Regions from separate parts of the Mus musculus genome. Here all the other regions are reported to be linked to region 1. Evidence: microRNA targets listed by miRTarBase, many of them from high-throughput screens and not tested one by one. Region 1 holds a microRNA gene; each other region holds the end of a gene's coding sequence.

Region 1 (4,068 bases):
GTCAACAGATGCAATGCATATACAAGTAAACACATATGCACATACATGGATGGCCTCACATGAATACCAGGATGATCTCTAACTGAATTAAGCATGAAGTTGAAATCCTTATCCTCCTGACTTTGTCAATCTTTTACACCTGGTGGGTGAGACCATTCAATGTCCCCTATTGCATAATCTCTAAAACTCTACATCACTTATCATTCAAAGGGATTGGCGAATGCCATTCCTGTGTCTGTGTATGTGTGCTTGCGTTTATACGTGTGTGTGTGTATGTTATGTATATTCAAATATAGACATGAACATGCACACACAACTATACACACATGCACATACATGGAGGAATCACAGGCTGATCTCTCATGAGGATAAGTATGAATTTGAACTCCTGATACTCTTAACTCTAGCAAGCATTTTCACTCTAAGTCACTTATCACTCAAATGGATTGATGAGTGCCATTCCCATGTGTCTGTGTGCTCATATGTGTCTTATGTGTGCGTGTATGTATATGTATATCATATTCACACATGTACATGTACACACACATCAACACATACACATATTCATAGGGGCAATCACATGAATGCCAGGATGACCTCTAACTCATCATGCCTTTACCATGAACTTGCACTCCTGATCTTCCCGACTCTACCAAGGGTTTCCCGTGGTTTGTGAGACCTCACCCTGGCCAGTCATACATAACCTCCAAAGCAGTAGGTCACATATCATTCAAATGGATCCGTGAGGGCCATTCCCGCATGTCTGTGTGCATGTGTGTGTAGGTGTGTGTATGTATATGCATAAAATATACACGCATATACATGCAGGCACTTACGCACACAGGCACATACATAGGGGCCATCACATTATTCCAGGATGATCTCTAACTGCTCATGAAGTTAAGCATGAAATTGAACTCCTGATCCTCCTGACACTGTCAATTGTTTACACCTGGTGAGTGAGACCTTCACTGTCCTACTTTATAATCAGCAAAATTCTAAGACATATATCATTCAAATGGATCAATGAGTGTCATTCTTATTTGTGTGAGTGTGCATGCCTGTGTGTGTGACTACATTTGTATGTGTGTGTATTTATATGTATGATCATATAAACACATGTACGTGCACACAAAATTATATGCACTTGTGCATACCTAGGGTCCATCACACAAAAACAGGGTGATCTCTCACTCATTATGAAGTTAAGCATGAATTTGAACTCCTGAGACTCCTAACTCTGGCAAGTGGTTTTCATCTGATAAGAGAGATTTTTCCCTATACCATGAATATACACTCAATGAAACTCTAAGCACGTATAAATCAAAAGGATGACTGCCATGTGTGTTTGTGTGCACATGTATGTTTCCCTAGTTGTGTGTGTGTGTGTGTGTGTGTGTATATATATATATATATATATATATACATATATATATATATATATATGCATGTTCATATACGCGCATGTACACGCACACTTCACCTATACACATAAACACAAACACAGGGAAAATCACATGAATTCCGGGCTGATCTCTAACTCATCATAAAGTTAAACATGAATTTGAATTGCTCATCCTCATGATGCTGGCAAGAGTATTCACCTCCTAACTAAGTCATAGCTCGGGCCATTCGTGGGAGTATGTTTGCATGTGAGTATATGCATATTCATGTACAGAAGTGAATATGTACTCAACTATACACACATGCACATTCTTGGTGGGCATCACATGAATCGCATGCTGAACTCTAACTCATCATGAAGTTAAACATAAATTTGAATTCCTCATCCTGACACTGACAAGAGTGCTCACCTCCTAACTGAGACATAGCTCTGGCCATTCCTATGAATGTGTGTGCATGTGTGTATATGCATATTCATATAGAGAAGTGAATATGCACACAACTATACACACATGCACATTTTTGGTGGGCATAAGATGAATCCCATGCTGATCATGAACTCATCACAAAATTCAGCACGAATTTGAACTCCTGATCCACCTGACTCTGTCAAGGGATTTCTCCTGCTGAGTGAGACCTCTCCCCATTCAGTAATGAGGAATCTTAAAACTCTAAGTCACATATCATTCAAATGGATCGATGAGTTGCATTCATGTTTGTGTGTGTGTTACTGTTTGTGTCTGTGTACATGTATATATTTGTGTAGATAGGTACATCCATATACTCAAATCCACACACAATAGAAACAGATACAGATAGGGATACATAGGGGGCATCACATGAATCCCAGGCATATCTCTAAGTCATCATGAAGTAAAGCATGAATTAGAACTCCTGATCCACAATCTTTCACACCTGGTGAGTAAAACCATTCACTGTCCCACTACTGCATAATCTTGAAAACTTTAAGTCACGTATCATTCAAACGTATAAATGAATGCAATTTTTTCCTGTGTGTGTGTGCTTGCATATACACGTGTGTTTATGTTATGTATATCATGTCAACACATACAATGCACATACAAGTAAGCACACATGCACATACATGGGTTGCATGACATTAATACCAAGATGTCTCCAAATGAAGTTAAGCATGAATTTGCAATCCTTATCCTCCTGACTTTGTCAATCGTTTACACCTGGTGAGTGAGGACATTCAATGCCCCCTATTGCATAATCTCTAAAACTCTACATCACTTATCATTCAAAGGGATTGGCGAATGCCATTCCTGTGTCTGTGTATGTGTGCTTGCGTTTATACGTGTGTGTGTATGTTATGTATATTCAAATATAGACATGAACATGCACACACAACTATACACACATGCACATACATGGAGGAATCACAGGCTGATCTCTCATGAGGATAAGTATGAATTTGAACTCCTGATACTCTTAACTCTAGCAAGCATTTTCACTCTAAGTCACTTATCACTCAAATGGATTGATGAGTGCCATTCCCATGTGTCTGTGTGCTCATATGTGTCTTATGTGTGCGTGTATGTATATGTATATCATATTCACACATGTACATGTACACACACATCAACACATACACACATACATAGGGGCAATCACATGAATGCCAGGATGACCTCTAACTCATCATGCCTTTACCATGAACTTGCACTCCTGATCTTCTCGAATCTACCAAGGGTTTTCCTGTGGTTTGTGAGACCTCACCCTGGCCCAGTCATACATAACCTCCAAAGCAGTAGGTCACATTTCATTCAAATGGATCCGTGAGGGCCATTCCCGCATGTCTGTGTGCATGTGTGTGTAGGTGTGTGTATGTATATGCATAAAATATACACGCATATACATGCAGGCACTTACGCACACAGGCACATACATAGGGGCCATCACATTATTCCAGGATGATCTCTAACTGCTCATGAAGTTAAGCATGAAATTGAACTCCTGATCCTCCTGACACTGACAATTGTTTACACCTGGTGAGTGAGAATATTCACTGTCCCTCTACTTTATAATCAGCAAAATTCTAAGACATAAATCATTCAAATGGATCAATGAGTGTCATTCTTATGTGTGTGAGTGTGCATGCCTGTGTGTGTGAATACATTTGTATGTGTGTGTATTTATATGTATGATCATATACACACATGTACGTGCACACACAATTATATGCACTTGTGCATACCTAGGATCCATCACACAAATACAGGGTGATCTCTAACTCATTATGAAGTTAGCATGAATTTGAACTCCTGAGACTTTTAACTCTGGCAAGTGGTTTTCATCTGATAAGTGACATTATTCCCTATACCATGAATATACACTCAATGAAACTCTAAGCACGTATAAATCAAATGGATGACTGCCATGTGTGTTTGTGTGCACATGAATGTGTCCCTAGTTGTGTGGGTGTATATATATATATATATATATATATATATATATATATATATATATATATGCATGTTCATATACGCGCATGTACAGGCATACTTCCCTATACACATAAACACAAACACAGGGAAAATCACATGAATTCCGGGCTGATCTCTAACTCATCATAAAGTTAAACATGAATTTGAACTGCTCATCCTCATGATGCTGGCAAGAGTATTCACCTCCTAACTG
Region 2 (4,059 bases), not on the chromosome of region 1:
CCCAGGTCATTTGTGCTGGCAGTGGCCAGCTTTATACATGTGGCTGTTCCATTTTAGCAGTTGGGCATCTTACCTAAGGCCTTCGACTAAGTCAAATGCCTTTCTCATCAAAGAATGACGACTCCTATTGAATAGGTCAGTAGTAGAGGAATGAGTTTATGGGCAAATATCCCAACATTTCTGTGGCACTATTGATTTCTAACTACATAGCTTCTGGCTAACTGTACCCAAGTATTTACTGGTTGTCTTCCTTCCTTCCTTCCTTCCTCCCTTCCTTTCTCTCTCTCTCTCTCTTTTCTTTTTTTTTTTTTTTAAAGATTTATTTATTTATTTATTTATTTATTTATTTATTTATTACTTGTAAGTACACTGTAGCTTCAGACATACCAGAAGAGGGCATCAGATCTCATTACGGGTGGTTGTGAGCCACCATGTGGTTGCTGGGATTTGAACTTCCGACCTTCGGAAGAGCAGTCGGGTGCTCTTACCCACTAAGCCATCTCACCAGCCCCCTCTCTTTTCTTTTTTTAAAGATTTATTACGTATAGTGTTCTGTCTGCATGTATGCCTACAGGCCAGAAGAGGGCATCAGATCTCATTATAGATGGTTGTGAGCCACCATGTGGTTGCTGGGAATTGAACTCAGGACCTTTGGAAGTGCAGTCAGTGTTCTTAACTGCTGAGTCATCTCTCCAGCCCTGGTTGTGTTTCTTACCAAAATCTTGCACCAAAAACTCGTTTCTTCACCCTGAGAAGACAGAAGAACTTTCTTCCAAAACCACACTCTCCTACATTTAGCAGGAATCAAAGTGCTTATTGGATAGGCCGGCTTCTTAGGTTCTTGGACTACTTGGCTTTTGAGTAGGGTCTCCTTGTTGAGTGCACACTGCCCATAAACCTCCAACCCTCCTACCTGAGCCTCAAATGCTGAATGCGCCACCAGCCAACCACCTGTTCTTGAGCAGTTTTCATCCTCATCTATGGAGAAATCCCTTTGGCTCATCATCTACAACAGTTTAGGAGCCCAGCCAAGTTGGCCTATCTAGAGTTTTTTCATCAAGGAAGCCCAATGGCCCCTCCTGATGCCAAGACCTTTAATACCAAGGCACAAAGCCAAGCTGATTTTATTGTTTGTACCGTTTATGTCAGTCTTTTATCTCCCAGGCTGACCTTGAACTTCTGACCCTTCTGCCTCCACCTCCTGAATGTGCTAATCACTACACTGGGCAGTACTGAGGACTAAGCACAGGACTTGGGCAAATGTTGTACCAGCTGGGCTATATCCCTAAGCCCCCCCACACCCCAAGCTATTCCTGAATAGATCAGTCAAGAGTGTCTTGTGGTATCCACTCTTATTATCCTAGATTTACAATTCTAGAGTTTGTTGGAATTGTTGAATCAACTAAAATAAAGTGTGTCATTTCTCAAATTAGCTGCATCACTGGAGAGGAACGGCAATGTGCTGTTTTTAGTCCAGCTGTGTTTTAATCCAGTGCTGTGTTTTTGACTTTAGGATGCACTGATTTCTCCAGTGGCCTAACTTTTCTAATTATATTTTGTACAGTCTAATATTAACAGGCATTCACATTCCCTGAGCACAGGATTGTTTGATAGTTTGGAATGCTTTTCTAAACACAAAGCAAACCAAAAACCAAACCCAAACTATGCTGGTCTCAGGGAATGGCAAGGCTGAGATGGGAAGCACACACATGGACAGTGAAGAAGCAAACTGACCATACAATGCTCTGGAACTAATCACACCCGGAAAGGGCGAGGGTGGGGATTCTCTGCAGACCTGTGAACAGGAGCGAAGATGCCCATTACCTTCTGAAAAGGACCGGCCCTCCAGCACCCTCTCTAGAGTTAATGGAGCTTGATGAGAAGATCAGGAAGCAAGGACCAGGGAGTTCCTGGGTGGTGTCTCAAGTGAAAAAACCCGAGCAATAACCAATCCATTTTAAAAGAGCATTTAAAATGAATTTTATTGTTTGAATTTTACAAGTAGTCTTCAGAGACTTCAAACAAGAACTCGGTTGCAAAACTCTAATAAATAGCTTGCCCCAAGTCCCCAAAGAAACAGGAAAACCAAATGAAAGGAAACTCGGGAAGATAAGCAAGACTTCAGAATGCTCGGATGTTAGCAATATTTCTCATTTACAGAAAGACATCAGGCAATGTACAACCTCCTTCATGGACATTAGAGAGTCGACTATCATCTTTACAAAGCATTCCCAAATCCTCCTACTTCACGGTAGAAATGTTAACAGGGGAAAGAAAAAACCTGGTGGTGGGGGAACTCACAATCATTTGTGAAACTACAGCATAAAGAGGTGTGTGTGTGTGTGAGAGAGAGAGAGAGAGGAGAGAGAGAGAGAGAGAGAGGAGAAGAGAGAAGAGAAAGACAGAGGGAGACAGAGAGGGAGAGAGAGGAGGAAGAGGGAGGAGGAAGGGGGATACATATTGCTTTAGGGATAGAAACCAGGGCAAGTGGTTTTCTAGTTTACAGCAGGGAACTTTTAGCACAACGCCAGTTAACACTGGCCAGCCCCATGTCTGTACAGCAGCAAGGGTTAGGGGCCCAGAACAGCCTGCATCACTGGACAGGAGGAACAGTGCAGGGGTAATTTCTGCAGCAGAGTCCTTTGGATGGCATCAAAAGGATGCAGAAAATGCTGTGCATAAACTCCACACTGCGACATGCAGGTTCCAAAAGCCCATTTTGTTTTAGGCATTGCTCCAAACAGGCAGGGATTAAACTCGCGGTTTAACATTTGCTGCTGTTAGCTTTTCCTAATTACAAACACTGGTTGAAGTCTTGCTTTGGTGAGAAAGATTTATTAGTCATTTTGAACAAGCTTTAAAAAGTTTGCTACATCTTTAAAAATCTCAAACAGAAACTATATATATATATATAGAGAGAGAGACTTTTGACCAAAATGTGTTTACAATGCAAACAGGTAAGGTTTTCATTTGAGAAAATTCAGATGCCAATTAATGTTAGGAGCCAGGAAGGTGGAATAGGTTGATTTCTGATTTAGTAGGGTTCACTTAAGCCAAACAAAGTATTAGGAAGGTACTGGGGACAGTTCTTCTGGAGAAAGAAGGGACAAGATGCAAGATCTGAAGGGTGAGTGGTGTGGCCCTGCTGGTCCCCAGCAGACAGGATGCAGAGGGCAGAAGCCCCACCCAGACCACTTAGGGGTGGGGCCTTCCCTTAAAGTCCCTCTCACAGGCATTTTAGGGACTGAGGCAAGGAAAGGCCCCTCCCCACCCCCAAACAGTTAAAAAAGAAAAACTTCCTTCCTAGGAACACAGACATCTGTCAGGGGACAGGGAGCTTGGGGTACCTGAACCAGGTCAGCTGATGGAAGCAGAGACTGAGGGCCAGGGGCACTTGGGTCTGGGCCCAGCTTCTTTGTAAATACATAACAGAGAAAGATATTGTGCAAAAAATAAAGACATTCACATTTGAGCAGTTAAATTTTTATTTTACTTTTTAAAATTTTTATTTAATTTTTTGTTTTTCTTTTCTAAAAAAGGCAGATAATGATTGTTGATCTGCAATTGTGCTGTGCACTGTCCGATATGAACAGGCTGGGACGCTGGGGACTCTGAGAATACTTTCCAAGGCGTGAATGGGTGCTTTAGGGGCCCACATAGGGCAGCCTGTCCCTTTCTCGTTTCCCCTCGGCTGGCCCTAGCTCATGTCTATGGTGTTGAAGACCCACTCTGTGAACTTCTTCAGCTTGTCCGAGGCGTTCTGGGACTCCTCCTGCAGCCTCAGGTTGTCCTCCCGCAGGTGCTCAACTTCCGCCTGCAGCTGGGCCTTGTCTTCTTTTTCCTGAAGGAGAAGCCAGGCACACATGACCTAGGGGTGTGCACGTATCTGGGCAACCCACCCAGCTCTCAGGAGAAGCAGTTCTGATTCCCTTTTGGAGGTCCCTCCCCTCTCCCCAGTCTACTAAATGCCCACACACATCAGATCCAAGCCCAGGGGGCTCCCAGAAAGCTGCCTTGATTAAGTAAGTCAAAGCCAATCAAGAATCACAAATTTCAACT
Region 3 (4,059 bases), not on the chromosome of region 1:
GGGTGATGAGCTGGAAATGAACAGTGTGCCTGAAAGAGTAGAAGCTCGGTGTGGCTAGTCTATCTGTGTAATTCAGAGCATAAAAACTGAGGAGACACTGTTTCAGGTTCCTGCAACCAAGTGAAGGGAGCCTTAGGCTCCATGAGGCTCCATGTTTGCAAGCTCACATTTAACTCTCTAAGCCATGAGAGTTTTAAGGAAGGAAACCTCGGGTTTGGTCTCATCTGTTTTGTGCTCCTGTTCTACAGTTTTTTAAAGATGAAAATGCTGTCATTAGTAGTCTACATAGAAGATAGTTTGAGCATCTTATGCTGTGTTGTTTGTGAATTATACAATAGCTTGTATTTCCTAGAACCAAAATAAAAAATAAAAATGCCTTACTGTGCCGTCAGATAAATCTCAGAATTTATACACATGCACACTTTTTTTAAAGGGGGACTTGCTTCATCTTATTCTGACAGGCTTAAAACTCTTGCTGTGTTAGCATTGGTGAAACCCAAACGTATTTTCCAGTGTATAGACTGCTTTAATGAAATAAGGCTTGCTTTTAATATTCTGATCAATTTTTGAAGTACCACCGTTTCAGAGTTTCAGAGAGACACGTCCCTCCAATAGCGGTAGATGTGAGCTGCCTCTGCAGGTGAGGCTGTGCACCATCCTAGGTTTCAAACTTTGCCTTAAGAACAGAGGTGACAGTGACCCCAGTTGCTAAGGCCAGGGTCTTTTGACCTCACTCATGCCTCTCCCTTCAACTCAGACTCAGCACAGCAGAGGTCCAGGGTCCGTCTCCTTGGACACTGTTTATGGCATATAGACAGCCATGTGCGACTCCATTTTGCCTTCCCCACAGATAGGGAGCGTGTGGGCTCCAGCCTTAATTTCCTCTTCTCCATGCCTTTTTTTTTTTTTTTTTTTTTTTTTGGTTTTTCGAGACAGGGTTTCTCTGTGTAGCCCTGGCTGTCCTGGAACTCACTCCGTAGACCAGGCTGGCCTCGAACTCAGAAATCCGCCTGCCTCTGCCTCCCGAGTGCTGGGATTAAAGGCGTGTGCCACCATGCCCGGCTTTTTTTTTTTTTTTTTTTTGTCTCCATGCCTTTTATGGTGCCTCCTTTCTCTTGCCTTTTGGCAAGGATAGTAGAGCTGTACCCATGCCTCCACTGAGCACTCCCCACCTAGATGCCCACCGGAGCTGATCTAGTAATATACTAACACCTGTGTGTCAGGGCGGCACATTTTCTGGCTGTCCTGAATCTCGAACTCCCTCTCTAGATCAGGCTGGCCTCAGGATCACAGAGATCTGCTTGCTTCTGCCTCAAGTGCTGGGATTAAAAGGCATGCGCCACCAGCCATTTAAAAGAGGCCCCAGATGGGGCAAGTTCTCTGTGGGTTAGAGGCCAGCCTGGTCTATATAATGAGTTACAAGGCAGCCAGGGCTACACACAGAGAAACCCTGTTTCAAAAAGCCAATACGTAATTTAAAAAAAAAAAAAAAAAAAAAAAAACTACTTGAAAAGATTAAAGTCTCCGTAAAAGCTCTGAGTCAGCACAAAATAAACTCTCTTTGCTTTTCTGATCTCAAAAAAAGTCATTTTTATAGCTAAAAATGTCCTAACTTTTAAACTTCATGTACACACTAGCATTTTAATATTTGAGCCTTGCAAAACTGTCCTACTTGAATGGAAAATATAACTCAAGTAGCAGGTATTATGGTGATGACCTGGGACTCCGGTCAGTATTAAATGTAATCATTAAATAAAATGCAGGAAATAAACATATCATCTCTGTTACATCAGCCACATTTCAGGTGCCCAGTATACGCTTAGCGTTGGTAGCAATCATACCATGCTGCAGATAAGAGAACATTCCTATTACCGCAAACCTTAAACAGTGCTAGTCTACAAGAAAGCCATAATTATGGTAGACATGATGAAAAGTTGCTACCCCTGAGCTTTGCACACACTGGAATGATGAGGCATTTCTTCTTGATATCAGACCAAAGAAGCCATGTTCAGCACATTTTGAAAGACATGTCCCCCAGCTGCTGAAATCTTCCCCAAAGCCAGTGTGTGTAGTGAAACATGCTCTAAGTTGTTGCCTTTTTCTACTGAATTTTCTATTAAATTTTCTTTTTAAAACTATGCCTATATTCTTAATAGATATATTTATGAAAAAAATTCCTCTTGAGATATACACTGTAGAAACTCTCTTTTCATGTTGGATGTGTGGTTCTCAGCCTTTCTAATGCCACAGTCCCTCATGTTGTGGTGACCCCCAACCATAAGCTTATTTTCATTGTTACATCATAGCTATAATTTTGCTACTGTTATGAATTGTGATGTAAATATCTGTGTTTCCTGGTGGGTGGCCTTACATCACTGTTACATCATAGCTGTAATTTTGCTACGGTTATGAATTGTGATGTAAATATCTGTGTTTCCTGGTGGGTGGCCTTAGGTAACCACTGTGAAAGGTCATTTGTCCTGCAGTGGGGTCACGACACAGGTTGACTATCACTGTGCTCTCTGGTAGCATTAGATGGAACTACACTGAGTACTTATGATAGCTAAGTCAGTCATTTGGAATATGTTTCTCGGCATATCAGCTGAGCCACAAGAAGGCTGATTTGCCTTCTTGCTTTTAATATTTTGTGTCAATTGATGAGGCACCTGCTGCTTGTAAGTTACAGAGAGAAGCACGAGATAACCCAAGACAGGGAGTACCTAACCTCCATGATGTTAACCCAGAGATAAGCAACCAGAGCAGGGAGTGTGTCCAAGGGGCCAGCTGAGTCTGCTGGTGACATTCAGATTTCTTTTATATCTTTCATTACAGACATTCTTCAGGGTAAGTATTGACAGGGGATTTGTCTATTATATGAAATACAGCAAGTACCCATTGCACAGATAATTCAGTGATACATTTGTCATTGAAAAGTAACTTTTATGAAGGTAATTTATTTTTGCTGCACACATACACAAATTCTCAGAAACATTGATTTCTAAGAGACTTGAGACAAGACCCGCCACCAGGTTTGCTTTCCCGGAATTAACAGTAGCATCCTGTATTAAATGATTGTGAAAGGTTGGTAATGAAACAAACCCACGTATTGCGCTTCACTGTGATTGGTTTGTCTCTCCATCGTTGCTGAACTCATTTTGATAGAAAAGCGTAGCTTCATGTTGTACAGAAACTTGACACAGTAAACTTCTACCCATAAACAACAGCACCTTAGTGAGTGTCTAATAAATGAATTCACTAAAACTGCAGCTGGCCTTGCTTTGTGAGTGACAGATTTTGGGAAAGTGATGTTAGCAGCTGATCTAAAATGTGTTCTTGACAAATGTGGTGGCCCAGACCTTAAACCTCAGCACTCAGGAGGCCCAGTCTGCATAGTGAGTTCCAGGATGAGCAAGGCCATGTATATAAAGTCTATATTTAAAATGACAACAACAACAAAAAACATAACAAACAAAACAAATCCACAAATAAAATGCATTCTTTATTTTTATTTAACTTTTTTGTATTTTTTTTCATTCTTTATTCTTAATGCTCCCTCTCTCAGATAAACTTTCAAAACAGGGATTTTAACTAACAGGCAATATTGATTTGTGTTATATCCATTGTTTTCTCTTGAGTCCCATCGTCAGCTTCATAGAAGGTCTCATTTGTTGAATTTGATACTGCATTGAGGCCTTTGGCTTTTCTGTTTATGTTGCCTGGAAATACACAAGACCAAATGAAATAATTAATCAAACTTACGACATAAAATTTGTCTTTTCAAAGTTTGTGCTTGAATTGTTATAATAGTATGGAAAATAGGACGTCCTGAAAATGTTATATAGATGAGTGAAAACCAAATCCATTCAGGATGATTTTGAGCCATGCATTCTGAAAGTGAAAGGAGATATTCCATCACAGGGGTACAAATTTCATTGCCATACTCTTTCTTCAGGCCTCTGTGAGAAAGCACACATTTCACAAGGTGTTAACAATTTCAGGGTCACTCAAAGTGTGACTCCCTACTCTACATATAACTAGTAAGTAGACTGCATTAAAGCT

Evidence for each region. Region 1 holds the annotated microRNA mmu-miR-669a-3p (ACAUAACAUACACACACACGUAU, at 2,722-2,744, opposite strand). A microRNA usually pairs through its seed, bases 2 to 8, with sites in the 3' UTR of a target mRNA and lowers its output. Matches are read on the target gene's strand: a 7mer-m8 pairs with bases 2 to 8, a 7mer-A1 pairs with bases 2 to 7 and ends in A, and an 8mer does both.
Region 2: the mRNA of Sipa1l1 is a reported target of mmu-miR-669a-3p. Seed matches in the 3' UTR shown: 7mer-m8 at 3,425-3,431.
Region 3: the mRNA of Shisal2b is a reported target of mmu-miR-669a-3p. Seed matches in the 3' UTR shown: 7mer-m8 at 3,461-3,467.

Annotation. Positions count from the first base shown.
Region 1 is chr2:10,485,380-10,489,447 of GRCm38, reverse strand. It overlaps Mir669a-7 (microRNA 669a-7), which reads right to left and starts at 2,795; the gene lies at 2,709-2,795. The region is part of intron 10 of Sfmbt2 (Scm-like with four mbt domains 2); the gene reads right to left. It overlaps Mir467a-4 (microRNA 467a-4), which reads right to left and starts at 3,313; the gene lies at 3,231-3,313. Mir466b-4 (microRNA 466b-4) reads right to left here and starts at 3,025; the gene lies at 2,936-3,025. It also overlaps Mir467a-5, Mir466b-5 and Mir669p-1.
Region 2 is chr12:82,449,683-82,453,741 of GRCm38, reverse strand. Sipa1l1 (signal-induced proliferation-associated 1 like 1) reads right to left here. Exons shown (of 21, transcript NM_172579.3): 21 at 1,956-3,841. The coding sequence ends at 3,698. Among named protein-coding and RNA genes, the nearest start is that of Gm51987, 5.3 kb to the right of the region's middle.
Region 3 is chr13:104,842,348-104,846,406 of GRCm38, forward strand. It overlaps Shisal2b (shisa like 2B), which reads right to left. Exons shown (of 3, transcript NM_029984.1): 3 at 2,936-3,716. The coding sequence ends at 3,589. Among named protein-coding and RNA genes, the nearest start is that of Shisal2b, 20 kb to the right of the region's middle.